4 linked regions of the Saccharomyces cerevisiae S288C genome follow. The gene in region 1 interacts genetically with each later gene. Each region holds a gene or a part of one and is shown in the gene's direction. Other genes may lie near its edges. The genes, in order: RXT2, SSD1, IXR1 and SET3.

Region 1 (3,389 bases):
AAACTCAATCTGTCATATAAATTATTTTTTAAGTGCTGCCGTATCATGTAGCCGGCTCTATTTGTCTCGATCAATTTACTGTAGTTTAAAACGTGCGGTAGTTGTCCCAACTTAAACGATTGAGCCCTTATACGTTGGAGAAAAGGTCGTAAGCTATATTGGTCTTTTGGTTTAATAAACACTTTGATAACAATTTCGCCGTTAGGGTCCAGTGCCTTGCATGTTTTTAAGAATCTTGATGAGTTTAACTGTGAAACGTAGTGTACTTCCTCTAAGACATCGATATATGAAAAAATGGCTATGGAAGGTGATGCTTGGACCACTAGTGATAATTGTGCCCCCATTATACTGTATGCCTTCCTTTTTGATAACCTTACAGCTTTTGTATTTCTCCAATTCAACTTGTCTGCTTAAGTATCTTACTTAAGATATATCTGTTTTTCATTTTTATGATGTTGAAAAATAAGGGAAATTTACCTTGTTTTCTACCGAAGATAAAATATAACGCAGACTGCACAGAGAAACTTTTGAAAGAAGATAGATTTATATATTTTATAATACCGGCTATATGTGTATAGAAGTTAGATTTCTGAACAGTACTCTTGGCTCAAGTTTTCCAATGGTACTGTCTCGTGGAAACCACAACGCTCGGTTAAAAGCTTTAGATTGTCCTCAGAAATTTTGGCGACCTTCTCATTATATAAACCACAGTATTCAAGAGCATCCTTTGGTTTGATGGTCTTTCTACCGTCCTTAAGGACGTATTTGGTCAATGATAATGAGCATAAGACGGTGCCCTTTTTAATTGTGAATCTACTCATGACGTAAATCCATTTCTCATCCCAACAGATAATCCTTGATGAAACCGAGTACTTTTGAAAAGGCTTGATTTCCTTCAAGAAATTAGTGAAAACGTTCGCAACTGGAATATATGGATAATGCTTGGAATTCAGCATCAATTTTTGAAAAATCTTGCACATGAGATTACCTCTTGAAATGTCCAATTCCGCAAAATAGGTGCTATTGCTCTTATGAAAGTAGAAGTCACATTCGAATGGAGAGGCATAGGTATCTAGGCTGGTGTACGAGAAACAGCCATATTCATTTTTCTCAAGTTTCTTAATATTCTCGGTTTCAAACCCTGTAAACATAGGCAAGAACAAGTTTTGAATAACATAATAATAAAACCTAACAAAATATGCCCCAGGAAGCGACTTATATGAAGAGAGCAAGTAAGCAGCAAAGAGCCACCTAAAAATAGTGCAAACACCCATTATTCTATTATTTTATTTTGTTGTAGATATTGGAAAGCACTAGTTACTCGAGAAACCTTTTGGAAGTCTTGAAATTAGAAGCAATTGTTTTACAAAATTACTAAAAAGCCTTTAAGCGGATAATTATAATGTTCACTTTATAACGGCGTTATTCGAAGATCATTATTGTCTCCTATACCCAAGAGGACCGAAGCCGGGTAGCGAACTTTGTTCTGGTAAAACAATCGCTTTCAAATAGAAGAAACGTTGCTTGATGACAGCATCTCCTGCAAAAAAGAGGTTGAGAAACAAATATCTCAGCTGTTGCTTCTTGTTGATCGAGATGACTATTAGGAGCAGTATGAAAAACAACGCAGAATTGGAAAGCAAGAGTGTGTTAGCTAATGAATCGAATATAATTAGCACATTTACTAGAAGGATAATAAAGGAAAAAAGCGGTAACTATCAGGTACTGAAAAGATCCCTTGATGGAAAACTAATCTATCCTGAGGCCACTGGCATATCCTCTAACAGAGGTAACAAACTTTTGCAGAGAAGCGAAGTAGTAACAAGAAGAGACTTGAACAATTCTAAGCCAATGATTGAGCAAACTGTGTTCTATAACGGTTCGGAGCATCGCCTTCTGCAAACAAATATTGTCACTGATAGTAGACGCAAAAGAATAAAATTCACACCTGACATCAACGTCGAGCCTGTTTTAGTCGGTGATGAAAACGACATCGATGGTAGTGAGAAGGAAGACGAAAATATCACTGATGAGTATTACGGCGAAGAAGACGATGACGACCTATCAAAACTAGTGAATGTAAAGGAGATTTTGACTCCCATTCTTTCCCTAGGGGATATAATAAATCATAAAACTATCTCAAGGACATTTTCAAGCCCAATTTTGAAAAATTTAGCCTTGCAAATAATTCTAATGATTGAAAAAGAACAGATGTCAGTTGTTAGATATTCCCAGTTTTTGGAGGTTTTTTTAGGAGATCATCCTGAACCAATTTATGAATCTAACTTGAACCTACCATCTTATAATCACAATTTGACCCTTCCAGAGGATAGAGGGGCAAGCGACGAGGATGACATTAACAACAAAAACAATATCAACGAGGTTAACTCGAATAGTTTGTCTACTGAAGCTGGTCATATCAATAATGGCATGGAAGAATTTGGAGAGGAAGATCCTTTTTTTGCATTGCCAAGGTTGGAACAATCTAATGCGCTGTTATCGTTGCTGCCATCTTCTTCCGGTTCTGCTTCTATATCAACATTAACAGCGGCCGAACAACAACAGTTAAATGAGGAAATTGAGTCTGCCCGACAGCTGTCGCAGATTGCACTACAGAGGAATAAAGAATTCATAAGAAACTTACAAAAAATCAGAAAGTCTGTAATAAAAGCCAATAGAATAAGAGGTAGGATTTTAAATTGGAGTCGGGAATATTTGGGTATATCTGACGATGATATTACTATCCCGGTGGCTCTACGTGTTGTGAAGAGAGGTCTGATCAGTGCTACAACAAATAAGACAACAAATTTTGAGGAAGAAATTGAAAATACCATGGAAGACGGTGTTGTAGACGATAATGAACCTGATGAAGAAGCTAATAGAGCCTAAATTGACAAAACAAAAAATTTCGGAAATAAAATCAAGGCATATGTATTATTTAGCACTATTTAGTAATAATAACAGTATTTTAGGATGGGTTCTTTTTTTTTTTTTGTTTCACCAACCGTTTGAAGTGTAATCAATGACTTTTACGAAGTTCGGGTCTGTTTCATCATCTGTCTTATTTCTATTCTCGTTAAAGATGGGGGTAACACAGTATTTGACAGTGTCATCAAATAATTCATCAATGAGGTTCTTCAAATCTTTCCCAGTTTGTTTGAAGTCTGGGAAAGCGTTGATCTCTAGTAATTTAACTTCGTAATTCGAATCAATCAAAAAGTCTACGCCATATGTTTCAAATGCGTTTGGTAACGGTTGGAAGTTTAATCTATTTACATTTACAGCAGCTAAGAAAACGTCGTTCGTTATGCTATGGATTTGCTCCTTAATATTGGACTTTCTCTCATTTGGAATTTCCTCTATGGAGTCAAACTCCAAAACAGAAGAAT
Region 2 (10,233 bases), on another chromosome or scaffold:
TTGGTCTTACATTCAAGAAAAAACAAGAAGTGGAAAAATCCATTAATGACTCTGAAAAAAGGTTGAAGCATGCGATGACAGAATCTACCAAGCTACAAAATAAAATAAATCACTTACTGAAAAATAGGCAGGAACTAGAGAATTTCAACAAATTGCCCTCGAATACTATTTCATCAGAAAATCATCTGGAAGAGGGATCTGCCTTAGCAGACAAGTTGAAGGAATACATAGACAAAAATGCGACTCTTTTTAATAAGTTAAAGGAACTCCAACAAGCAAATGCGGAAAAATCAAAGCTCAATGATGAACTACGTTCCAAATATCAAATAGAATCTTCAAAAGCCGCAGAGTCCGCGCAAACATTGAAAATTTTGCAAGAATCAATGAAGTCTTTAGAAAACGAAGTTAATGGTCCACTGACTAAATTTTCCACAGAAAGCTTGAAGAAGGAGCTGGAACGTTTACAGAATGATTTTCAGTCGCTTAAAGCAAGAAACAAATTCTTAAAGAATTACATAACCTTAATGAACCGACAGTACGACTTAAAAAACAAAAACAACGTCCAGGTGGAAAAAGCTGCCGCAAATGGTACACGGTTTAGATCAACAAGATCCAATACCCCTAATTACACATGAATGTGACGTTTCCTAAAAGAAGTAGCCTGTATAATATAGAGAGATTTTATATACTTTCTTAATGAATTAGACTGTTTCTACAAGTATTTGACACTGGAAAAAAAGAGAAAGTACATAGAGATTGGCCAAATATTTAAATCTACACAGTTGCCTATCGTTTATCGCCTTATTCTTCAGAAACATTTCATCAACTACTCTGGTGCATTATTTCATGTTAGTTACCATATATACCGGCCGGCCGCATCGGGGTTTTTTGATTGAAAAAATTGGTATATTTTCAGTACACATATAAATAAAACCCTCAATTTGCCTCTCCAACCGTTATAACTATTCCAGATCCTCTTTACCGAGCAAGTAGGCTAGCTTCTGTAAAGGGATTTTTCCATCTAATACAATGAGTGGAGTATCAAATAAAACAGTATCAATTAATGGTTGGTATGGCATGCCAATTCATTTACTAAGGGAAGAAGGCGACTTTGCCCAGTTTATGATTCTAACCATCAACGAATTAAAAATAGCCATACATGGTTACCTCAGAAATACCCCATGGTACAACATGTTGAAGGATTATTTGTTTGTGATCTTTTGTTACAAGCTAATAAGTAATTTTTTTTATCTGTTGAAAGTTTATGGGCCGGTGAGGTTAGCAGTGAGAACATACGAGCATAGTTCCAGAAGATTGTTTCGTTGGTTATTGGACTCACCATTTTTGAGGGGTACCGTAGAAAAGGAAGTCACAAAGGTCAAACAATCGATCGAAGACGAACTAATTAGATCGGACTCTCAGTTAATGAATTTCCCACAGTTGCCATCCAATGGGATACCTCAGGATGATGTTATTGAAGAGCTAAATAAATTGAACGACTTGATACCACATACCCAATGGAAGGAAGGAAAGGTCTCTGGTGCCGTTTACCACGGTGGTGATGATTTGATCCACTTACAAACAATCGCATACGAAAAATATTGCGTTGCCAATCAATTACATCCCGATGTCTTTCCTGCCGTACGTAAAATGGAATCCGAAGTGGTTTCTATGGTTTTAAGAATGTTTAATGCCCCTTCTGATACAGGTTGTGGTACCACAACTTCAGGTGGTACAGAATCCTTGCTTTTAGCATGTCTGAGCGCTAAAATGTATGCCCTTCATCATCGTGGAATCACCGAACCAGAAATAATTGCTCCCGTAACTGCACATGCTGGGTTTGACAAAGCTGCTTATTACTTTGGCATGAAGCTACGCCACGTGGAGCTAGATCCAACGACATATCAAGTGGACCTGGGAAAAGTGAAAAAATTCATCAATAAGAACACAATTTTACTGGTCGGTTCCGCTCCAAACTTTCCTCATGGTATTGCCGATGATATTGAAGGATTGGGTAAAATAGCACAAAAATATAAACTTCCTTTACACGTCGACAGTTGTCTAGGTTCCTTTATTGTTTCATTTATGGAAAAGGCTGGTTACAAAAATCTGCCATTACTTGACTTTAGAGTCCCGGGAGTCACCTCAATATCATGTGACACTCATAAATATGGATTTGCACCAAAAGGCTCGTCAGTTATAATGTATAGAAACAGCGACTTACGAATGCATCAGTATTACGTAAATCCTGCTTGGACTGGCGGGTTATATGGCTCTCCTACATTAGCAGGGTCCAGGCCTGGTGCTATTGTCGTAGGTTGTTGGGCCACTATGGTCAACATGGGTGAAAATGGGTACATTGAGTCGTGCCAAGAAATAGTCGGTGCAGCAATGAAGTTTAAAAAATACATCCAGGAAAACATTCCAGACCTGAATATAATGGGCAACCCTAGATATTCAGTCATTTCATTTTCTTCAAAGACCTTGAACATACACGAACTATCTGACAGGTTGTCCAAGAAAGGCTGGCATTTCAATGCCCTACAAAAGCCGGTTGCACTACACATGGCCTTCACGAGATTGAGCGCTCATGTTGTGGATGAGATCTGCGACATTTTACGTACTACCGTGCAAGAGTTGAAGAGCGAATCAAATTCTAAACCATCCCCAGACGGAACTAGCGCTCTATATGGTGTCGCCGGGAGCGTTAAAACTGCTGGCGTTGCAGACAAATTGATTGTGGGATTCCTAGACGCATTATACAAGTTGGGTCCAGGAGAGGATACCGCCACCAAGTAGCTATATAGAATCAAATCTCATACATAATTTAAAGAACGAGAGTGCAATGTGATGATTGTGATTCCTGATCCTATGTCACGGACGACGACTTGTATCACCTTGAATTTTCTGACCAAAGGGGCCGAGTCGCTTCACGAGGGGATGAGAAAGGAAAAGAAGGGAAAACTAAACTTATATAACGCAGGTGTGTCTTTCTACCATTGCCATCAAGTTATTAAAGGCCACGAACAGGAACGCTAGAGACCTGAGTTTGTCATTTGTTTAGTTCAAGGATTAAATAAACAATCCTTCTACAAATAAGTCCTTTCTTTCACCATCGTCTTAAGACCACTGCCTCCAACGAAAACTAACCTAAAAGAGTTTAGATCACGAGTATTTTCGCTCTTTCCCTCCTTCCCCTGGTTTTTTCTCGTTAGTTCTTTTCATTTAAAAACTCTTCTCTTGTCAAGAATTTAAAAGACGAAGAGTCCAACACCGACTGATTTTCTAACAGCAAAGGAACGAAGTTTTGCCGTGCAAACAATAATTTCTAAATTATAATTTTGAGCCTAGCTGAGAAATAGGAGAGATTATATTTTAGAAAGGTAAGAAGTTTTTCTGTCATTCCTTTTAGAATATTTGCTACGTTCTAACATTTTTTGTTACTCAAGCGCATTTTCTGCAACTTCCCTTATAAGCTATTTCCTTTTTTTGGGACCGATCCTTTCTTCTGTCTTTGGTAACCTAAAAACCGGAATAGTCAAAGTTATCTGCATAGTCTTCTTGCCAGGCTTATTTTCGCCATACCATTTTTCTGGTACCCTAAACATTTTGGTCTTATTTTAGAACAGCTGGTGCCTCGTTTTTCCGCATTAGGCGCACTTTTTTCATAGCCACTATTCTAAAAGAAACAACTTTTTTTCAAAGGGAAATCTAAGTTGCCTGCACGAAGAATAAGACAAGGGTTCATAAACGTATAGTATTTGCCAAGTTCCATCTTTTTCTTTGTCACTTTAATATCGCAAAACAGAACACCAAAAACCTTTCAGCGCAAAGATTTGGCCCAATTATTCCATCTTTATACACTATGTCTAAAAATAGCAACGTTAACAACAATAGATCCCAAGAGCCAAATAACATGTTTGTGCAAACCACAGGAGGTGGTAAAAACGCCCCAAAGCAGATTCATGTTGCACACAGACGTTCCCAAAGTGAGTTGACAAATTTGATGATTGAACAATTCACTTTGCAGAAGCAGTTGGAGCAAGTTCAAGCACAGCAGCAACAGTTGATGGCTCAGCAACAGCAATTGGCACAACAGACAGGACAATACCTGTCAGGAAATTCTGGCTCTAACAATCATTTCACGCCTCAACCGCCTCACCCTCATTACAACTCAAACGGTAATTCACCTGGTATGAGTGCAGGTGGCAGCAGAAGTAGAACTCACTCCAGGAACAACTCCGGATATTATCATAATTCATATGATAACAATAACAATAGCAATAATCCTGGGTCTAACTCACACAGAAAGACGAGTTCACAATCCAGCATATATGGCCATTCCAGAAGACATTCTTTAGGTCTAAATGAAGCGAAAAAGGCTGCTGCGGAAGAACAAGCTAAAAGAATATCTGGGGGTGAAGCAGGCGTAACTGTGAAGATAGATTCTGTTCAAGCTGATAGTGGCTCAAATTCTACTACAGAACAATCTGATTTTAAATTTCCACCACCACCAAATGCTCATCAGGGCCATCGTCGCGCAACTTCAAACCTATCACCTCCCTCTTTCAAATTTCCTCCAAACTCTCACGGGGATAATGACGATGAATTCATAGCAACCTCTTCAACGCACCGCCGTTCAAAGACAAGAAACAATGAATATTCTCCAGGCATTAATTCCAACTGGAGAAACCAATCACAGCAACCTCAACAGCAGCTTTCTCCATTCCGCCACAGAGGATCTAATTCAAGGGATTACAATTCCTTCAATACCTTAGAACCTCCTGCGATATTTCAGCAGGGACACAAACATCGTGCCTCTAATTCATCAGTTCATAGTTTCAGTTCACAAGGTAATAATAACGGAGGTGGACGTAAGTCCCTATTTGCACCCTACCTTCCCCAAGCCAACATTCCAGAGCTAATCCAAGAAGGGAGACTAGTAGCTGGTATATTAAGAGTTAATAAAAAGAATAGATCGGATGCCTGGGTCTCTACAGATGGCGCTCTTGATGCGGATATTTACATTTGCGGCTCCAAAGATCGTAATAGAGCACTTGAAGGTGATTTAGTCGCGGTAGAACTATTAGTTGTGGACGATGTTTGGGAGTCCAAGAAAGAAAAGGAAGAAAAGAAGAGGAGAAAGGATGCCTCTATGCAACACGATCTAATTCCTTTGAACAGTAGTGACGATTACCACAACGATGCATCTGTTACTGCTGCAACAAGCAACAATTTTCTATCTTCTCCCTCCTCGTCTGATTCGCTAAGCAAGGATGATTTATCCGTCAGAAGAAAGAGGTCATCTACTATCAATAATGATAGTGATTCCTTATCATCTCCTACCAAATCAGGAGTAAGGAGAAGAAGTTCATTGAAACAACGTCCAACTCAAAAGAAAAATGACGATGTTGAAGTTGAAGGTCAGTCATTGTTATTAGTTGAAGAAGAAGAAATCAACGATAAATATAAGCCACTTTACGCAGGCCATGTCGTTGCTGTTTTGGACCGTATCCCTGGTCAGTTATTTAGCGGTACATTAGGTTTGTTGAGACCATCCCAACAAGCTAATAGCGACAATAACAAACCACCACAAAGCCCAAAAATTGCTTGGTTCAAGCCTACTGATAAGAAGGTGCCATTAATTGCAATTCCTACAGAATTAGCTCCAAAGGACTTTGTTGAAAACGCTGATAAATACTCCGAAAAGTTATTCGTTGCCTCTATTAAACGTTGGCCAATCACATCTTTGCATCCATTTGGTATTTTAGTTTCCGAACTTGGAGATATTCACGATCCTGATACTGAAATTGATTCCATTTTAAGGGATAACAATTTTCTTTCGAATGAATATTTGGATCAAAAAAATCCGCAAAAAGAAAAACCAAGTTTTCAGCCGCTACCATTAACGGCTGAAAGTCTAGAATATAGGAGGAATTTTACGGACACTAATGAGTACAATATCTTTGCAATTTCCGAGCTTGGATGGGTGTCTGAATTTGCCTTACATGTCAGGAATAACGGAAATGGTACCCTAGAGCTGGGTTGTCATGTTGTTGATGTGACCAGCCATATTGAAGAAGGCTCCTCTGTTGATAGGCGTGCGAGAAAGAGGTCCTCTGCGGTGTTCATGCCACAAAAACTTGTCAATTTATTACCACAATCGTTCAACGACGAACTGTCGTTGGCCCCTGGCAAGGAATCAGCCACGCTGTCGGTTGTTTACACTCTAGACTCATCTACTTTAAGGATTAAATCTACTTGGGTAGGCGAATCTACAATTTCCCCCTCAAACATCTTGTCTTTAGAACAATTAGACGAAAAATTATCTACTGGAAGTCCCACTAGCTACCTCTCTACTGTACAGGAAATTGCTAGATCATTTTATGCTAGAAGAATAAATGATCCAGAAGCTACATTACTTCCCACCCTGTCCTTATTGGAAAGCTTGGATGACGAAAAAGTTAAGGTTGACTTGAACATCCTGGATAGAACTTTAGGCTTTGTTGTAATTAATGAGATTAAAAGAAAGGTCAACTCCACTGTTGCAGAGAAAATTTACACCAAACTTGGTGATCTAGCTCTTTTGAGAAGGCAGATGCAACCCATTGCAACCAAGATGGCGTCATTTAGAAAGAAAATTCAAAATTTTGGTTACAATTTTGATACCAATACGGCGGATGAATTAATCAAAGGGGTGCTAAAAATTAAAGATGACGATGTTAGAGTCGGAATTGAAATTTTACTGTTTAAAACCATGCCAAGAGCTAGATACTTTATTGCTGGCAAAGTAGACCCGGACCAATATGGGCATTATGCCTTGAACCTACCTATCTACACACATTTCACAGCGCCAATGAGAAGATACGCTGATCATGTCGTTCATAGGCAATTAAAGGCCGTTATCCACGATACTCCATACACCGAAGATATGGAAGCTTTGAAGATTACCTCCGAATATTGTAATTTTAAAAAGGACTGTGCTTATCAAGCACAGGAACAAGCAATTCATCTATTGTTGTGTAAAACAATCAACGACATGGGAAATACTACAGGACAATTATTAACAATGGCTACTGTCTTACAAGTTTACGAGTCCTCCTTTGATGTATTTATTCCAGAATTTGGTATTGAAAAGAGAGTTCATGGAGATCAACTACCTTTGATCAAAGCTGAGTTTGATGGTACCAATCGTGTCTTGGAATTGCATTGGCAGCCCGGCGTAGATAGTGCAACTTTTATACCAGCAGATGAAAAAAATCCAAAATCCTATAGAAATTCCATTAAGAACAAATTCAGATCCACAGCCGCTGAGATTGCGAATATTGAACTAGATAAAGAAGCGGAATCTGAACCATTGATCAGCGATCCATTGAGTAAGGAACTCAGCGATTTGCATCTAACAGTACCAAATTTAAGGCTACCATCTGCAAGCGACAACAAGCAAAATGCTTTAGAAAAATTCATTTCTACTACTGAAACCAGAATTGAAAATGATAACTATATACAAGAAATACATGAATTGCAAAAGATTCCTATTCTATTGAGAGCTGAGGTGGGGATGGCTTTGCCATGTTTAACCGTCCGTGCATTAAATCCATTCATGAAGAGGGTATAATCTCTTCTACCAATATCGTCATTGCTGTTTTTCTTGTTTTTCACTTTCGTTCTTTGGATTGTGCTTCACCCCTCAGTATCCCTTCCCTTTGTTTTTATTTCCTGCGAACATTAACAACTGCATGAATTTTGTACTTCTCCTTTTAATCCACGTTCCGGTAAGGCATCATCCAAATTTTTTTATTCGACCTCGTTAAGTCATATATTTTTTCCCAAAAATACATAAAACAATAATGCAGCCTTCTTTTCAATATTTACAACTTTTCAATTTATATTGTCTTTTGTTATTTATACTCTTATATATTAAATTTATTCCGTTACTAAATACCCTTTTGCTGTACAAATATCATCAAAGAGAAGTACTGAAAGCTTACTTTTTATGCGCTGGGTAATTTTTCCGGAAACAATAACGAAATCATCGTCGAGCAATTTTGCTCGTACTTCAGAAACTACTGCGTAAACATTTGAGGTCGTACAATAAGTAGATAGAAATAAATAAACCAATTTTTCGTCAGCGTTTAATCTGTAGCCAAAGATTTGTGGTATTCTCACAGTTTGAATAATATTCAGCTACTTCATCAAGTAGTTTTTTTCAATAGGAGATTCACGGTTCAATAAGTGCATTGATTATGTTCGACCAATTAGCAGTCTTTACCCCTCAAGGTCAAGTACTTTACCAATATAACTGTTTAGGAAAAAAGTTTTCTGAAATACAAATTAACAGCTTTATATCCCAGCTGATTACTTCCCCAGTAACTAGAAAAGAAAGTGTTGCAAACGCAAATACAGACGGATTTGATTTCAATCTTTTAACAATCAACAGCGAACACAAAAATTCTCCTTCATTTAATGCACTATTTTATTTGAATAAGCAACCAGAATTGTATTTCGTAGTGACTTTTGCCGAGCAGACTTTAGAGCTTAATCAAGAAACTCAACAAACACTTGCACTGGTGTTAAAACTCTGGAACTCATTGCATTTAAGTGAATCCATTCTAAAAAATCGTCAGGGCCAAAACGAAAAGAACAAGCATAACTACGTCGATATTCTTCAGGGAATTGAAGACGACCTGAAGAAATTTGAGCAATATTTTAGGATAAAATATGAAGAGTCAATAAAACAAGACCATATCAATCCAGATAATTTTACCAAAAATGGATCAGTACCCCAATCGCATAATAAAAATACCAAGAAAAAATTGAGGGATACAAAAGGTAAGAAGCAATCTACAGGAAATGTTGGTAGTGGGAGAAAGTGGGGCCGTGATGGTGGCATGCTTGATGAAATGAATCATGAAGATGCAGCCAAATTAGATTTCTCATCATCCAACAGCCACAATAGTAGCCAAGTAGCTCTAGACTCCACTATTAATAAAGATTCTTTTGGGGATAGAACAGAAGGAGGCGATTTCTTAATCAAAGAAATTGATGATCTTTTGTCTTCTCATAAAGACGAGATAACTAGTGGGAACGAAGCTAAAAATTCTGGATACGTCAGTACAGCTTTTGGATTCCTTCAAAAACACGTTCTAGGTAACAAAACGATCAATGAAAGTGATTTGAAATCTGTATTAGAGAAGTTAACACAACAATTGATAACCAAAAATGTAGCACCAGAGGCAGCAGACTATTTAACACAGCAAGTCTCACATGATCTTGTAGGCTCAAAAACTGCAAATTGGACCAGTGTTGAGAATACTGCTCGTGAATCTTTAACAAAAGCATTAACTCAAATATTAACGCCTGGTGTATCCGTTGATCTCCTCCGTGAAATTCAGAGCAAAAGAAGCAAAAAGGATGAAGAAGGTAAATGTGATCCCTATGTGTTCTCTATAGTTGGTGTTAATGGTGTTGGTAAGTCAACAAATCTTTCAAAGCTAGCGTTTTGGTTACTGCAAAATAATTTCAAGGTCTTAATTGTTGCTTGTGATACGTTTAGGTCTGGTGCAGTTGAGCAACTAAGGGTCCATGTTGAAAATTTGGCACAGCTAATGGATGATTCACACGTTCGTGGCTCCAAGAACAAAAGGGGTAAAACTGGTAATGACTACGTTGAACTATTTGAAGCTGGTTATGGTGGATCTGACTTGGTAACCAAAATTGCAAAGCAAGCCATCAAATATTCTCGTGATCAAAACTTCGATATAGTGTTAATGGATACTGCCGGGAGAAGGCATAATGATCCTACTTTAATGTCGCCATTGAAGTCTTTCGCTGACCAAGCCAAGCCAGATAAAATCATTATGGTTGGAGAGGCTTTAGTAGGTACTGATTCTGTCCAGCAAGCCAAAAATTTTAATGATGCCTTCGGAAAGGGAAGAAATCTTGACTTCTTTATTATCTCCAAGTGTGACACAGTTGGTGAAATGCTGGGTACTATGGTAAATATGGTTTATGCTACGGGGATTCCTATCTTATTCGTTGGCGTGGGACAAACCTATACCGATTTGAGGACATTAAGCGTAAAATGGGCTGTTAATACATTAATGTCTTAAAAACTGTAATATCATAGTATATATATATATACCACAGACAATGTTATTCAACAATAATAAAGTGTCTTTTTTTCTGTGCATCAACAAGGTGACAGAATGTTGATGTAACTTCTTTCCACCA
Region 3 (8,381 bases), on another chromosome or scaffold:
TATTTTCGATACCAATTCGTTTCGATGTGTGCAAATTGAATATTGCATCGTGCATTGCAAGGTTTTTCAAATTCTTGCGTCTTGTCAACCGTTCAAGGCGATTGAAAGATATTCACTGCATATCTTCTTATACGAAAAGCATCGAAGAAAAAACACCCATACAACCAAGTATAGACGGAACAATTCGGGTTTTTACTCTTCCCTAGGCGGTTTAAATCGGATATATGAAAAGAAATCAAAAAAAAAAAAAAAAAAAAAAAAGAATTGGCGCATTTGAAGTTTTATTATCGTACGCGTTATTGTTTGCGCTAACATCGCATCGCATCAGCTGACTGAGTGACTGAGTCCCCTTGGCTTCGACTCATCATCGCCTTTCTATGGTGAAAAATTTTCGCAATTTCCTATTACTGTACCGCGTATGCTCCATTTGACTTCCTTTGGTCTACAGCTTTAGCGCTATAGAGTTTCGAAGTCGTACCCGTTACCGGCATGATTGACATATTATATATATATATATATGCGTATCTTTATACTTACTCGTATATTGTGTCCAGCTTCGGATATTTGTGCTTTTGAAACCTACAACTTTTAACGAGTTTAGTGCACATAAATACCAAGACAAAAGGTAGAAATACGGTTATGCTTAGAACCAGACTATCCGTTTCCGTTGCTGCTAGATCGCAACTAACCAGATCCTTGACAGCATCAAGGACAGCACCATTAAGAAGATGGCCTATTCAGCAATCGCGTTTATATTCTTCTAACACTAGATCGCATAAAGCTACCACAACAAGAGAAAATACTTTCCAAAAGCCATACAGCGACGAGGAGGTCACTAAAACACCCGTCGGTTCTCGCGCCAGAAAGATCTTCGAAGCTCCTCACCCACATGCCACTCGTTTGACTGTAGAAGGTGCCATAGAATGTCCCTTGGAGAGCTTTCAACTTTTAAACTCTCCTTTATTTAACAAGGGTTCTGCATTTACACAAGAAGAAAGGGAAGCGTTTAATTTAGAAGCATTGCTACCACCACAAGTGAACACTTTGGACGAACAACTGGAAAGAAGCTACAAGCAGTTATGCTATTTGAAGACGCCCTTGGCCAAAAACGACTTCATGACGTCTTTGAGAGTACAGAACAAAGTCCTATATTTTGCATTAATAAGGAGACATATCAAGGAATTAGTTCCTATCATTTACACCCCAACCGAAGGTGATGCTATTGCTGCCTATTCCCACAGGTTCAGAAAGCCAGAAGGTGTGTTTTTAGACATTACCGAACCTGATTCCATCGAATGTAGATTGGCTACATACGGTGGAGACAAAGATGTAGACTACATCGTTGTGTCGGATTCGGAAGGTATTCTGGGAATTGGTGACCAAGGTATCGGTGGTGTACGTATTGCTATCTCCAAATTGGCATTGATGACGCTGTGCGGTGGTATTCATCCCGGCCGTGTGCTACCTGTGTGTTTGGACGTCGGTACTAACAACAAGAAACTAGCCCGTGACGAATTGTACATGGGTAACAAGTTCTCCAGAATCAGGGGTAAGCAATATGACGACTTCTTGGAAAAATTCATCAAGGCCGTTAAGAAAGTGTATCCAAGCGCCGTTCTGCATTTCGAAGATTTCGGTGTTAAGAACGCTAGAAGATTACTAGAAAAGTACAGGTACGAATTGCCATCATTCAACGATGACATTCAGGGCACCGGTGCCGTCGTGATGGCCTCGTTGATTGCTGCTTTGAAACATACCAACAGAGACTTGAAAGACACCAGAGTGCTTATTTACGGTGCCGGGTCTGCGGGCCTCGGTATCGCAGATCAAATTGTGAATCATATGGTCACGCACGGCGTTGACAAGGAAGAAGCGCGCAAGAAAATCTTCTTGATGGACAGACGTGGGTTAATTCTACAATCTTACGAGGCTAACTCCACTCCCGCCCAACACGTATACGCTAAGAGTGATGCGGAATGGGCTGGTATCAACACCCGCTCTTTACATGATGTGGTGGAGAACGTCAAACCAACGTGTTTGGTTGGCTGCTCCACACAAGCAGGCGCATTCACTCAAGATGTCGTAGAAGAAATGCACAAGCACAATCCTAGACCGATCATTTTCCCATTATCCAACCCTACTAGACTACACGAAGCCGTTCCTGCCGATTTAATGAAGTGGACCAACAACAACGCTCTTGTAGCTACCGGATCTCCTTTCCCACCTGTTGATGGTTACCGTATCTCGGAGAACAACAATTGTTACTCTTTCCCAGGTATCGGTTTAGGTGCCGTACTATCGCGTGCCACCACCATCACAGACAAGATGATCTCCGCTGCAGTGGACCAACTAGCCGAATTGTCGCCACTAAGAGAGGGCGACTCGAGACCTGGGTTGCTACCCGGCCTGGACACCATCACCAACACTTCTGCGCGTCTAGCTACCGCTGTGATCTTGCAAGCACTCGAGGAGGGAACCGCCCGTATCGAGCAAGAACAAGTACCGGGAGGAGCTCCCGGCGAAACTGTCAAGGTTCCTCGTGACTTTGACGAATGTTTACAGTGGGTCAAAGCCCAAATGTGGGAGCCTGTGTACAGACCTATGATCAAGGTCCAACATGACCCATCGGTGCACACCAACCAATTGTAGACGAAGCATAACCAACGCCTGCACTTAAAAAAAAAAAACCATATAGAGTAATATATAAATATATATATTTGTACAATTTTTTTCTTTATTTTTAAAAAAAAAATAATACTTGACATACCGTAATAATAATAATAATAATAATAATAATAATAATATAATAATAATACAATAATACAATAATAAAAACAATAACAACAGCAACAATAGCACAAGAACATTAACCCAAGCAACTAGCAATAACAAGAACGGTAATTATCAAAACAAAATATGATACCAAATGCGGAAAAAATCGGCACATATCCATAAAACATACACATCGTGCTTAGCGATCTACATACCGTGGAGGAATGGGTGGAACGGTTACTGACGACGGCCGCGCGGGGTTTTGTGTTGGGTGTGATGTCCGGATGCAACAGCAGCAAAGGAGAGGCGCAGCGGACCTTCCTTACTTTCTTTTTCTTCTTTTCTTTTCCACCTCCCCTTGGTGAGAGAACGAATGGGAACAAAAAAAAAATGCACACATCAGCTGGTGGAGCCAAGTATAGACACGGCCCGGCGCATTCGTTCTCTCTCTCCTTCTGTCTCTCGTTCTCGCTGTAAATGTGGTTTACTTCGTTATCCTCTGTACCGTAATCGTACTGCATTGTATTCTGTTTCCTCTACTGCTAGGTCACTGCCTAACAGCTACTGCTACCGAGACTGTGACGCTGAAGTTTATTCGCTCTGATATCCCACAAAGAACTCTATTACACACAGACAAGGCAAGGCAACGCAAGTCAAGGCAAGACCACAACTATATCCCCTTCTTCTATCCATTCTGTGATATACGTACGACGCTAACAGTACCCACAACTGCAATGAACACCGGTATCTCGCCCAAACAGGACGACGCCTCTAACTCCAACTTACTCAACATAGGCCAAGACCATTCGCTGCAGTATCAGGGTCTCGAACACAACGACTCCCAGTACAGAGATGCTTCTCACCAGACACCTCACCAATACTTGAACCAGTTTCAAGCCCAGCCTCAACAACAACAACAGCAGCAGCAGCAGCAACAACAGCAACAACAACAAGCGCCTTATCAAGGTCACTTCCAGCAGTCGCCTCAACAACAACAGCAAAATGTTTATTATCCACTACCTCCACAATCTTTGACGCAACCTACTTCGCAGTCGCAACAACAACAACAGCAACAACAACAACAACAGTATGCTAATTCGAACTCAAATTCAAACAACAATGTTAATGTTAACGCGCTACCTCAGGATTTCGGTTACATGCAACAAACCGGATCGGGCCAAAACTATCCGACGATCAATCAACAACAATTTTCCGAGTTTTACAACTCCTTTTTAAGTCATTTAACTCAAAAACAGACAAACCCTTCTGTCACGGGTACAGGCGCGTCTAGTAACAACAACAGTAACAACAACAATGTTAGTAGCGGCAATAACAGCACTAGCAGTAATCCTGCCCAGCTGGCAGCCTCCCAATTAAACCCTGCCACGGCTGCTGCGGCCGCCGCAAACAATGCTGCTGGCCCGGCTTCGTACTTGTCTCAGCTCCCACAGGTGCAGAGATACTACCCGAACAACATGAACGCTCTGTCTAGTCTTTTGGACCCTTCCTCTGCAGGAAATGCTGCAGGAAATGCCAACACCGCTACTCATCCTGGTTTGTTACCACCCAATCTGCAACCTCAATTGACTCACCACCAGCAGCAGATGCAGCAACAGCTGCAATTACAACAACAACAGCAGTTGCAGCAACAGCAGCAGCTACAACAGCAACACCAGTTGCAACAACAACAACAACTTCAACAACAACATCATCATCTACAACAGCAACAGCAGCAACAACAGCATCCAGTGGTGAAGAAATTATCTTCCACTCAAAGCAGAATTGAGAGAAGAAAACAACTGAAAAAGCAAGGCCCAAAGAGACCTTCTTCCGCTTATTTCCTGTTTTCTATGTCCATAAGAAATGAGTTGCTTCAACAATTCCCTGAAGCAAAGGTCCCCGAATTGTCTAAATTGGCTTCTGCAAGGTGGAAAGAGTTAACGGATGATCAAAAAAAACCATTCTACGAAGAATTCAGAACCAACTGGGAGAAGTACAGAGTTGTGAGAGATGCTTACGAAAAGACTTTGCCCCCAAAGAGACCCTCTGGTCCCTTTATTCAGTTCACCCAGGAGATTAGACCTACCGTCGTCAAGGAAAATCCTGATAAAGGTTTAATCGAAATTACCAAGATAATCGGTGAAAGATGGCGCGAGTTAGACCCTGCCAAAAAGGCGGAATACACTGAAACTTACAAGAAAAGATTAAAGGAATGGGAAAGTTGTTATCCCGACGAAAATGATCCAAACGGTAACCCAACCGGTCACTCACATAAGGCCATGAACATGAATTTGAATATGGACACTAAAATCATGGAGAACCAAGACAGTATCGAGCACATAACCGCAAATGCCATCGACTCAGTTACCGGAAGCAACAGTAACAGTACCAACCCAAATACGCCCGTTTCTCCTCCGATTTCATTACAGCAGCAGCCGCTCCAACAACAACAACAACAGCAGCAACAACAACAACACATGTTATTGGCTGACCCCACTACAAATGGTTCGATCATAAAAAATGAATAACAAATAAACAACTTTAGTTTTCCACTGTAACATTATCCCACGCAAACAACGAGAATAAGGAATTCCTTTTTCAACATTTGTTTTATATTGTACTACTCTATTTCCTATTACTACAAATTTTACTTTATTTAATAATAATTTTTCTTTCCCTTTTTCTAACTTCAGTCTATATGTATTTGCCTGTATACATATACGCATGTGTGTAGTCTTCCCTCCTTCTTGTTTTTGTAATATACTTAAGCCAAATTCAAGTTTGCCTCTGATGCTGTGCGAGCTCAACTGACGAGCGTGATGAAGCCAAAAAAATTAATTGATTTCGCCCAGGATCGAACTGGGGACGTTCTGCGTGTTAAGCAGATGCCATAACCGACTAGACCACGAAACCTATTAATCTGTAAAATTGATCATTTTAAAGTGGCATAGTTGTACGATACACAAGGGCGACTTATCAACTTACACATAAAATATGTTTGAAACATGTCAGAAACACTCGTTACAAAGCAGACAAAATTTATTACATCAAACGATACCCTGCCTAGACAAACCAGTTAAACGTGTAAATACCTGGACAACTAGTTTAGTTCCGAGATTCTGCGCTTCCATTGAGTCTTATGACTGTTTCTCAGTTTTCATGTCATCTTTTGACGCCGCATGGGATAATGTGTACTAATAACATAAATACTAGTCAATAGATGATATTACGATTTCACTCCAACAAAGGTGAGTGCTAGTCACCACCCTAAGGATATTAGGATTGTCAAGATGCCCGCTATTACTGGAGCCCTTAGTATAACGGATATTTTCAGGATAGCAGACTTACTTCTCCAAGTGTAAGGGAACTCCGAATCTAAAGTAGCTACTGCTCCTCCATTCCGTGTATATAATCTTGCTTTTTTTTAGGAAAATACTAATACTCGCATATATTGGTTATTATCATTACTTGGACACTGTCTGTTCTATCGCTTCATTTGTAATATGCGTATTGCCCTTCTTATTAATTGCTAATATTTCACCTGCAACATAGTCCCTGTTGATTAACGTGTTTATCCATTTCAATCATGAGAAATGTTTCTTCTGTTTTCCAATGCCTGGCCGAGCTGGTAATATATATATATATATGTACATAATACTTTATTAGAATATATTGTTGATGATTAGTAGACAAGTGGTACTACCAACCGAGAATAAAAGCTGGTCTTCTTAATATAATATGAGATAGGTATAAATAGCAGTCACCGATATCATTGGTTACCCAAAGTGACAATTCATGTCTTTCATAGATATAAATCGTAAGCTAAAATTGAATTAAAAGATCTTTAATTTAGCTGCCCTGCTAATTCTGAAGTCACATATCATTCCTCATTCTGGATCACTCATAACATTTATTGTCTAATTACTTATTGTAATCACTATAGTCACTGGTGTGAACAATGTGAGCAATAATAAACCACTGTATTACCATATACAAATGCATATGTTTAGCCACATAAGTTTAATTTATATTTCTTATTTTCCACACGATATCCCCCACTATCAATGACATAGATGATATTTTCTCCACTGGAACAACCTGAATACAACAATATATTATTTGTTCAAGTACCGCTTCAGAAATTAAATACTCTGTAATTTTGACCCCTTCTAGCACCATATGTACCATCGATACTAGCGCATTTTCAGTTACTGGTGGGAATTTGACATGCTTACTAATCGATTTTTTCTCATGGTTGTGCACCGTTGGATCAATCCTCAGTTCTTTCAATATAAAAGAATCCTGACACAGTTTCTGCCAAAGTTCAATGAATCTCTTGGCGACAAAATCACCAGAATATTTTATCATCTGCTCCACGCATGAACATGCGGGCTGAACGATCGAATAATCAGAGCATAGGACGCACTGTATGATGGAGTCCCATGTACTAGCAACCTCCCTTATCAACAGATTATGCTGTGTTGATAGCAAGGGAAATATAAGCCTCATAACAATAAGAATTTGCACTCTTAATCGTTTTGATGGATGGGTTAATAATCTTTCCCCATAACCCAAAATTTGCAATAGTATTTTGTATGAATCTGATGGTATAGGTGAGGTCCACTGGTCAGTATACTCTTTAGAACTTCCTTCCACCTCTTCTTCTCTTTCTTCTTCATCGTCGTCGCTATCTGGCTCTCTTAATTTGGAGTCGAAATATTCTTGAAAATTACTGGGCTCATTATCATCCTTCAAAAAATCGACGTCGTTCTCGTCTGTTATGTCATCTTTAACCTGTGTCTCTTTATCTAGTATATTGAGTACTTGCTGAAAATCGGTCATACCCCAGGGCGAAAAAGTACTTTGTGAAATGTGTTGATTAGCTATTTTCAAAATCATCTCATCATCATTGATATATTTTTTCTTCATCTCCAAAATGATGATTTTAAATAGTTGGAAAAATTGAAGACAGAGATCACTATATCCATGATAATAATCCAGTAGTTTAAATATCGTTTCAATAACATCTTTAAAATTTTCAATGGTTTCATAGCCAGCCAATTGGCAAATCACCATTAATATTTGGCTCACTCGTTCAGTCATCCCAGAATTCAATCTTGAGGAAATAGATTCTACAAGATAATCTACGTTGCTTAAGATCATGTTTGGGATAGACCCATGATATAGGGTATCTGCTATCCTCAATGCACAGGATTGGCTCACATACCTAATGGCTTCGGACGGTGATGCCAAGGCGTCAACTACTGTGTATATATAGTCAATCAATTCTGGTTGAAATTCTTCTCTCATTACCGCACAAATCGTTTCAATAGAGAATAAAACTGTACATACGGCAAACTCATCACTTTTTTTTATGCCTTTACCTTCAATCTCCATGCTAATGTCTTGAGAAAGTTCATTGCAAAATTCCAATACAATCAAACACACTTCTTCAACCATGGAAGAGGAATAGTTGGCATCAGATTCAAATTGTAGATAGACTTCTTCCTCCTTCGGTTGCTTTTCCATAGCCTTTATAAAATTGGTGCTTAACCACAGCGCAACTATCTTCTGCGTTCTTGGTGAATCAACTTGTTCTGAAATCAACT
Region 4 (8,979 bases), on another chromosome or scaffold:
AACCCCGCCTTCAGATTTAACTGCTGAAGAATTGAAGAGTTTGCCGATGTTCGAAATTCTACGCGAAAAATCGACTTGTGAAACTCAAATACTTAGAAGTGCTGGGAACTGGTCTCTTGGGCTAAAGGAAACGGAATGCTCAATTCAAAATGCTTACCTGAAGTTAATTGAACAAAGTGAACACTTTATTTATATTGAGAATCAATTCTTCATTACATCAACTGTCTGGAACGGGACTTGCGTTTTGAATAAAATTGGTGATGCTCTCGTTGATAGGATAGTCAAAGCTAATCAGGAGAAAAAACCTTGGAAAGCCTTTATTCTTATCCCACTAATGCCAGGATTCGATTCTCCAGTAGATACTGCAGAAGCCTCAAGTCTTCGTTTAATTATGCAATTCCAATATCAATCAATTTCAAGAGGTGAACATTCTACATTTAGTAAACTGAAGAAACTAAATATTGACCCAGCTCAATATATTCAGTTCTTTTCACTAAGAAAATGGTCGACTTTTGCGCCTAATGAAAGATTAATCACCGAGCAGCTCTACGTTCATGCTAAAATTCTGATTGCTGATGACAGAAGATGTATTATAGGGTCTGCTAATATTAACGAAAGATCACAACTGGGTAATAGAGATAGTGAGGTGGCAATTCTTATTAGAGACACCGACTTGATAAAGACCAAAATGAATGGTGACGATTACTACGCGGGAAAATTTCCTTGGGAATTAAGGCAGCGATTAATGAGGGAACATTTAGGTTGTGATGTAGATCTTGTTGAGTTTGTTGAAAAGAAATTTGAAAGGTTTGAAAAGTTTGCTGCAAAGAATTATGAAAAACTTCATACCCTAAGTAAGGAGGGAGATAGTGGTAACAATTGGAGCGATCGAGAAATGATCGATTCCGCTATGATTGAGCTAGGTTATCGTGAAATATTTGGTTGTAAATTTAGCCCTCAATGGAAGAGTGGTCATGGAAACAGTGTTGATGATGGAAGCACTCAGTGTGGCATAAATGAAAAAGAAGTGGGAAGAGAAGATGAAAACGTTTATGAAAAATTCTTCAATTCTGTGGACTACGGTAAATCATCACGTAAGAGAACGCCTCTGCCCAAACATAATTTTGCATCTTTAGGGCTAACATTCAACCACAGGGCAGGAATTGAAAATGTCGGTATACGAGACCACAAAGTCTTAAGTACTGATCCAAGATTAAGAAAGAATGATGAACATAAAAAAGAGGTTGATGGCTACGGTCCCGATTGTTGGAAAAAGGAATCCAACAAAAAATTCAAGGCCGATGCAACTGAACAGCTAAAGGAGTGGGCATTGAACTCATTGGCCTCGAAAGTTCTTGACGATAAAGAAATGATAAAATCAGAAATTCCAGAAGGATTTTCAAATTATTTGCCCAATGAGAAAGATCTAGAAATGTATCTCACGGATAAAACTGTTACCAATAGAAACAAATGGAGTATGCTCAAAAGGATATGCTACTTGCAATATTTATCTCATAAACTCGACGAAAGAAAAACACAGAGATTGAAGAAAATCAAAGATATGAGAAGACATTTAAGTTCAAGCACAGAAAGTACCAGAAATGGGTCTAATAGTCTGCCATTAAACGAAAAGAGCAATGAAGGAGAAAGCACTAATGTCGACCAAGATATCGAAGGCGATGAATATCATAGATTGCACGAAGATATTTTGAAAAATCAAGAACTAGATGATGGTTCACTGGACGATCTACTTTCTCAGATAATTCCTAAGATCACTAACTTTAACAGTGGTGAAATTGATGACGCAAAAAAAGAAGAGTTATTGAAACTCAACTTCATTGACCCGTATTCCTTCGAGGATCCTCTTATTTCTTCGTTTTCTGAAGGGCTATGGTTCACTATAGCCTTGAGAAATACATTACTCTATAAATTAGTGTTTCATTGTCAACCCGATAATGCTGTACAAAATTGGAAAGAATATGGAGAATTTACTGAATTAGAACAAGAATTTCAAATAAACCAGGAAAAGTTGATTGACTTAGAGGCTGAAAATATTAATTCTACTACTACAAATGTTGTAGATAAGGATAGGGAAAAGGAAAAAATGAGAAAAGCCGCTGAATTGAGAATGAAGTTATCCGGTAGTTTGCTTTATGGATTCAATCAAAAGGTTTTTGACAAACATACGGCGCAGAGAATCTTGGAAAGGATCCACGGTCATTTGGTCATTTTCCCAACCGAATGGTTAGCTAAAGAAGTTGAGAGTAGAAATTGGATTTTTAACTCGGATAGACTTTCTCCAATGGAAATCTACAATTAAGGGAATATAAAAACGACCAGGAACACACCATTACCTGTATTTTCCTTTTATCTGTTATAAGCATTCGACGCTGATACATAAACAGTTTTCATTATGCATTCTTTTGGTCCATAGTGTCATTATTGCTCTTATTACTCATTGCATTTTTATACTTCAAATATATATAATAATAATATCATTATGTAATTTATGTGCTTTATCTTAAAGAACCAAATTTTTTCTATTTCCGTGTTCAATTGCTTAATAATTGTAAAAGCTTAATTTCTTGGATAAGTCGATGCCAAATAAACTGATTAAATAGATTATCGATAATCCTAATGTTGGTAAAAGTATAAAGTTCAAATTTTTCAAGAATGGCAACTGGTTGTATCCATAAAAGGTTAAAATAAAGTAATGGCCAATAGCAAAACAATATAACGAATTACCAATGAGTAAGGAAATCCAGTTTTGTAAATTAATTATGGGCAGTAGTAAAAACTGAATGAAGTATAGGCACAGTAGGATGATTAAAAATGAATTACAATGAACGTCGAAACAATAAGCCCACTCTACCACACTATTTTGGCTCGATTTGAATTTAAAATGTGACCTATTCAACAAAAGGTAAAAAATAGTTGCCATAATAAATCCAAATATGAAAAAATCTAAAATCACCATCATTACCAAACTTTTGAAAAAATGACCTATAATGCTCAAGGCCCCCATATCACTGTCGTTGTTGAAACCTGAATTATAAATCGACCAAATAATAGAACTGAGTGAAATTAAGGCTATTTGGAAGATGAAAAAGGAAGGATCATCTCTCGCCCACTGATTTTTCGTCTGTCGCTGATAATATATTGATCTATAAGCTTTTCTTGGATGGAAAATCAAATGGAACATTTCCCAGCTGGCTGTCTCGAGATCTAAATTCTTTGGCGTTTTGAAAAGCCTCCTGATTACCATCGGCACAGATTGCTGACCGTAGCCTTGTCTTGCATCGTTTTCATTACCATTATTACGCCTCCTCTGGCCTTGCGGGCCTGCTGGCAAGTCGTTGGAATAAGTCGGCAAATATGACATTGATAAATCCGTTGACTAAGTAGTGGCAATCGAAAAATTATAGTGCAAATCTGTTTCTTTCTGGCTTTTTGCAGTTATTTCAACAAAATTTAAACCTGTTAAGTTTAATATTCTAGTAAGGTCTATTGGTAATTATTTAACCGTTGGAAGTGATCGTTGTATGAAATTATCATTCTAGATTACAGGTAGTCGATACCTTTTATTATAATACTTTTATAGCATGGTATATTATTCGTAAAAAAACATTAAAGACATGAAACTAGTCCTTTGTTTCCCTGGAAATTGTTCAACCAACTCATTCATCTTACTATGTCATGATAGATGCATATCATTATCAACGACATGCTATATACAGAAAGTAGTAATAAAGGACCTTTCTAGTAAACATGATTTAAAGCGTATATACAACAGTTTTAGATCGTACTTCACAAAATACGAGAACTGAATCATGTCAGTACCTAATTCCAAAGAGCAGTCGCTCCTAGATGATGCATCCACATTGTTATTGTTTTCAAAAGGGAAAAAAAGAGCTGAAGAAGCTTCAAAAATAGGCTCTAAAACAGATACTATTGAGCATGATGAGTCTCATGAGAGAGAAAAAAAAGGAGCAATAGAAATGGCAGCAGCAGCACTGGCTACAGCATCCACAGTTTCTTTACCTTTAAAGAAAGCTACTGAGCAATCGGCGGCAGAAGCAGCAACATCCACGGCAGCAAAAGAAGAGACCGAAAATCAACCTCAAAAGCAACCTCAATGGCCGGTACCTGATTCGTATATAGTCGATCCTGACGCGGGTATAATTACATGTATATGTGATTTAAATGATGATGATGGATTCACTATCCAATGTGACCACTGCAACAGATGGCAGCATGCTATTTGCTATGGCATCAAAGATATTGGGATGGCACCTGATGATTACCTTTGCAACTCATGTGATCCAAGAGAGGTAGACATTAACTTGGCTAGGAAAATACAGCAGGAACGCATAAACGTAAAAACAGTAGAACCTTCTTCATCAAACAATAGTGCTAGTAATAAGAATAACGGTCGGGACAGAGCATCGAGTACAACTATTAGTGACGTTGGCGATAGCTTTTCAACGGATCAGGACAATACTAACCACAGGGACAAAAGAAGGAAAAGAAACCCATCAAATAATAGTATAGACTCCAAAAACGAAAGCGCTTCTGTCAATTCTTCCGATGGATTGACTTCTATGCCCAAGAAAAAAGAGCATTTCCTGAGTGCAAAAGACGCATATGGTGCAATATACTTGCCCTTGAAAGACAATGTGTTTAAAAGTGATCTGATCGAACCGTTCTTAAATAAACATATGGATGATAATTGGGTCATACAATATCCTCATAAGACCTTTAAATCTGTGTCAATTGAAGTCAAACCGTATGCTGACATTGCATATTCCAGGACTTACCCAGGCTTCACGAAATTAGGAGTTTATCTCAAAAAGGACTGCATAAAAGGTGATTTCATTCAAGAAATTTTAGGCGAATTGGACTTCTATAAAAATTATCTCACTGACCCACGAAACCATTACAGGATATGGGGTACAGCTAAAAGAAGGGTCATTTTCCATTCCCATTGGCCGATATATATAGATGCACGCTTATCAGGCAATTCAACTAGGTATTTGAGAAGAAGTTGCCAGCCGAATGTTGAATTAGTAACTATAAAACTGCAAGATACAGACAATAGGAATGACAAAAGCAGTGGAAGAAAATCAAGTAGAATAAAATTTGTTTTAAGAGCTTTGAGAGATATTTCAGAGGATGAGGAGTTATACATCAAATGGCAGTGGGATTCAAAACATCCTATATTAAAATTAATAAAGGGCATGACAATAGACTCTTTAGATGACCTTGAAAGGTATGGGCTGATAAATTCGGTAGAAACAATTTTGAGTAACGGCGAATGCGGCTGTGGAAATAATTCTAAAGATTGTTATTTATTGAAAGTGAAGAGATACGCGCAAAGTCTTTATAAATCTGTGAAATCCAGAGGAAAAATGAACAACAGATATAAATTAAATGAAATTCTCAACCAATATAATTGCAAAAAGAGACGTGAGCCACCAATTTTGCATAGGCTAGAAGAAAAGGCTCAAAATACTATAGAAAGAGCTCCAATACTTTTGAATAATTTTTATCGACAAAAATTCCTTAATCGAAATAATGGTCCAAAAATTCCTCAAAAGAATACTATTGATAGTACAAATAATCCTGATGATATTGCAAAACCCTTCAAATTCGCCTTATTTGCACAACATTCTTCTAATATTTCTGTTCCCAAAAAAAATGAAACTTCAGAAAAACCTTTAATAATTACGAAGAGCACAGATTATGACGAATCACACATTACCAATATTGAAGAATTACCAATTCCAGTTCTTTTACCAATAAACAAGACGTCAAGGCAAACTGCAAACGATGTCGAAGAGAGTCAATCAAAGAATGAACATAAATTAAGTAGAACCCCTTCTCTTTCAAATTTCAATAAAGAACTGTCAAAGGAAGCACAACACAGTCAAGCAAAAACAAAAGAAATCATGACAGAAGCTTCGGTTAATTCAAGGCGAGAATCCACTCCAGAAAGTATAATGCACTTATCAGATTTTTCGTCCTCACAACTGCATTCGAAAAAGAAATTAAGCTTTGCGGATTACAGAAAAAAACTACTGAAATAAACATGGACATTTCCTTCTTACACCTATATAAACTTAAGTATATTCAAAAGTGAATATTCATTATTCTTTATAAGATTATATTCGGTTAATATTAAATTACAAGCCTCAATTAAAAAAGTATATATTTGATGAATTATAAATGACCTATATGCGAAAAAAGTGGAGCAATAAAAAATTGATGAATAAAGGGTGAAAATGTGACAATGTGAATGTTTTAGTTCAGAAAGCTTCTTTACTTCTTGACCTATATAATGAGTAGCCCTCCTCATTGCCCATATCATTCTCTTCATCTTCATCTTCGGAGTCTTCTTCATCGCTTGATATCTCGTTATCCATTCGATCATCAACACTGGTGCCTAGTGCCACTTCTTCGTCTTCGCCATTATTATCCAATGCGGATAAAGAATTGAAAAGAATAGTCTTCGGTCTTGGTGGTGTTTTCGGGGTAGTATACAATGGATTACCAGGTCTGGCATATGACTGGCCATCATCATTAGGATCCATATAGTCATCGTCATCGCCAACACCTTCAAAGTCAAACTGATGGTGAAAAATATTCTGGTCTTGCAGTTTAGGATCTGAAGGTTGTGACCTACTAGGAAAATGGTCTGGAGGGAACAATGAAGTACCCGATGTCCATTTGTCACTCCCGTTTTCATCATTGTCCTCATTATAGAGACTATTGCCATCCCTATGTTCAGATATTTTATCGGTAAACTCTGATTCGGCACTTTTGGATTTACCATCATCACTATCATAATCATCGTCGTTAGTCTCGACGTTATTATAGTAATTTTTATTATCCACATCACTATACTCTGCGTAATCTTCTTCATTTTCTTCATTCTCGTTATTATTGAAGTTATAATATAAATCCATGTTCCCAGAATCATGCCCGTTACTAAGAAGTTCATCGTTTTCTCCATTTCCGTAGTTTTCGTTGCCCTCTGTATCACCAATTATATCCTCAGAATCAGAATTCCTAATAACATCGTCATCGCTTTCTTGGTCATTGCCAAAATCTCCCAAAACGGTGTTATACTTCTCTCTTGTATCAGCCAAGATCGTTTCACTATATTCTTTCCAAAATGGTTCCTCAAGTCGATCTGAAACAGCGGTATTGCAAAAAGTTAGCTTCATTTCATCAATATACTCTTTGAACTTCGATATTTCTTCGGCAACTAATGTCAAATGACCCATATAACCATAACGTAAACCGGTCTTTTTTTCATAGTCTTGACATGCCTTATCCGCATCTACTATCTTTTTAGTTAGGTATGCATCAACCAAATAATCTTTCAAGAGGAACCTATTATAACCAGTTTTGAGGGGACCATTGAATATTTGCTGGGCAATATCAAAAATTACATTATGCAAAAAATTATTCCAAGGGAACTCAGTGAACATATCAAGGATACTAATCAGTATCTTAGTGTCTTCTAGAGCAATCTTCAGCCTGTCTCCAACTAGCGGTTTTTCCCTTAGGCATTCTCTCACGGATTCTGTGTCAGACAAGGTTTCATCATACAACTCTACTCCAGAAGCATCATTTTCTAGCCCCTCAACTACCTTTGCGTCTGATTTCACATCTAGTTTTACACTTGATACCCCAGTATCATTTAATTCATCTTCTTCACTTCCTTGATTATTTATTTGAAGAGCGCCTAAATTTTCTGTGATATCCTTCTCTACGCAATCCTTATCATAATATGATGATTTATTGTCCACAATAGCTGTTATATTTTCCTTTTCGGTTGAAGTTTCTAATTCTTTGGCCCTTTCTATATCACGTTCTTGGGCAATCATCTCACCATTGGGCTCATTTAGCAGCGTCATATTAGAACAGTGCAATAGTTCTGCAATAAGTTCACAGATTTTAAACCTCTCAAATCCCAGAGGTTCAATATTACCGAATGGCATTTCCATTAGTGGCAACTTGGTTTTATCCAGCATATCAGCAAAATCAGGCATATGCTTAGCAAAAAGTTTGACTAAATGTATCAAGTGAATTGGATCTCGATCAGTGGGAGGGTGACTTTCTAGGGTAGTGTAGACTAGTTGGATGAAATCATAATCTGAGTTATTCTTCCTGATCAACTCTATGATAATTCCAACACCATTACTTAAGGATGTACCGCCCTTTAGCATTATCTTAATCAACTTTTCTATCATTTCTTCTGATACTAATTGCCTTGTCAATTCATTAGGACCTATTCCCGAAGCAAGTTCATTGCTTGAGTTAGTGCTTAACGTGACGAATGCCTTAATAAAATCGCCTGCCGCAGACTGAGTGGAAATACCGTATTCTGGATTAAGATGATCTAAAAGTTTAGGTATTAATTCCTGTGATTTTAGTATCTTTATGACACCCGTGGGAGAGTCAGGTTTATCCGTCGAGATAACTTTCAAAAGGAAGTCCATCAAAGACGGATTGTCAACATGTGTCAAGAACCTTGCAACCAAGCTGTCTCGGCTTAATATAAACTCTAACATCCCCGTTATATCCATATCGAGAAGTCTTTCATTTATTTTCATGAAGTAGGTGGAAGCTGGTATCGGTAAGGGAGCTGGGTGATCTAGTATCGACCACAATCTACCAAGAAGATCCTTATTTTGCATTATTGCTGCGGATATAGGCCATACATCAGCCGATAAAATTTCAGCAGCTATCCTTGCCCTTCTAGTCTCCACTTGTTCCTCAGATTCCGGTGGCAAAGTAATGCTTGTCTCTTCAGAATCAACACTTCTTTCGTCCCCAGAGTCATGATCGCTATCATTTGTAGTTTCTTCTGAGTCGCCTCCTTCTTCAGCGTCCTCCTTTTTATCCTTTCTGTCTCTTTCTATCAAAATAGGATGATCGTTTACACCTTCAATAATCTCTGGCTTTTTAGCG

The links.
Region 2: mutations in RXT2 (region 1) and SSD1 together harm fitness more than expected from each alone (negative genetic interaction), as found in Saccharomyces cerevisiae (5 studies listed by BioGRID).
Region 3: mutations in RXT2 (region 1) and IXR1 together harm fitness more than expected from each alone (negative genetic interaction), as found in Saccharomyces cerevisiae (4 studies listed by BioGRID, with this or other methods).
Region 4: mutations in RXT2 (region 1) and SET3 together harm fitness more than expected from each alone (negative genetic interaction), as found in Saccharomyces cerevisiae (6 studies listed by BioGRID, with this or other methods).

What each region holds. Positions count from the first base shown.
Region 1 is NC_001134.8:433,906-437,294, reverse strand, and holds RXT2 (Rxt2p), read left to right. Parts: upstream 1-1,596; coding exon 1,597-2,889; downstream 2,890-3,389. Other genes in the region: ubiquitin-binding serine/threonine protein kinase VPS15, read right to left, coding at 1-344; YBR096W (uncharacterized protein), read right to left, coding at 582-1,274; PBY1 (putative tubulin tyrosine ligase), read right to left, coding at 2,998-3,389. UniProt on the Saccharomyces cerevisiae protein: Component of the RPD3C(L) histone deacetylase complex (HDAC) responsible for the deacetylation of lysine residues on the N-terminal part of the core histones (H2A, H2B, H3 and H4).
Region 2 is NC_001136.10:1,043,025-1,053,257, reverse strand, and holds SSD1 (mRNA-binding translational repressor SSD1), read left to right. Parts: upstream 1-3,865; coding exon 3,866-7,618; downstream 7,619-10,233. Other genes in the region: HDA2 (Hda2p), read left to right, coding at 1-635; sphinganine-1-phosphate aldolase DPL1, read left to right, coding at 1,030-2,799; SRP101 (signal recognition particle receptor subunit alpha), read left to right, coding at 8,247-10,112. UniProt on the Saccharomyces cerevisiae protein: Can suppress the lethality due to deletion of SIT4, and partially the defects due to BCY1 disruption. Is implicated in the control of the cell cycle G1 phase.
Region 3 is NC_001143.9:376,984-385,364, reverse strand, and holds IXR1 (DNA-binding transcription repressor IXR1), read left to right. Parts: upstream 1-3,506; coding exon 3,507-5,300; downstream 5,301-8,381. Other genes in the region: MAE1 (malate dehydrogenase (oxaloacetate-decarboxylating)), read left to right, coding at 640-2,649; TTI1 (Tti1p), read right to left, coding at 6,793-8,381. UniProt on the Saccharomyces cerevisiae protein: Binds to platinated DNA and confers sensitivity to the anticancer drug cisplatin. Activate the expression of the COX5B gene.
Region 4 is NC_001143.9:494,685-503,663, reverse strand, and holds SET3 (histone-binding protein SET3), read left to right. Parts: upstream 1-3,830; coding exon 3,831-6,086; downstream 6,087-8,979. Other genes in the region: SPO14 (phospholipase D), read left to right, coding at 1-2,320; GMH1 (Gmh1p), read right to left, coding at 2,561-3,382; SAP190 (Sap190p), read right to left, coding at 6,306-8,979.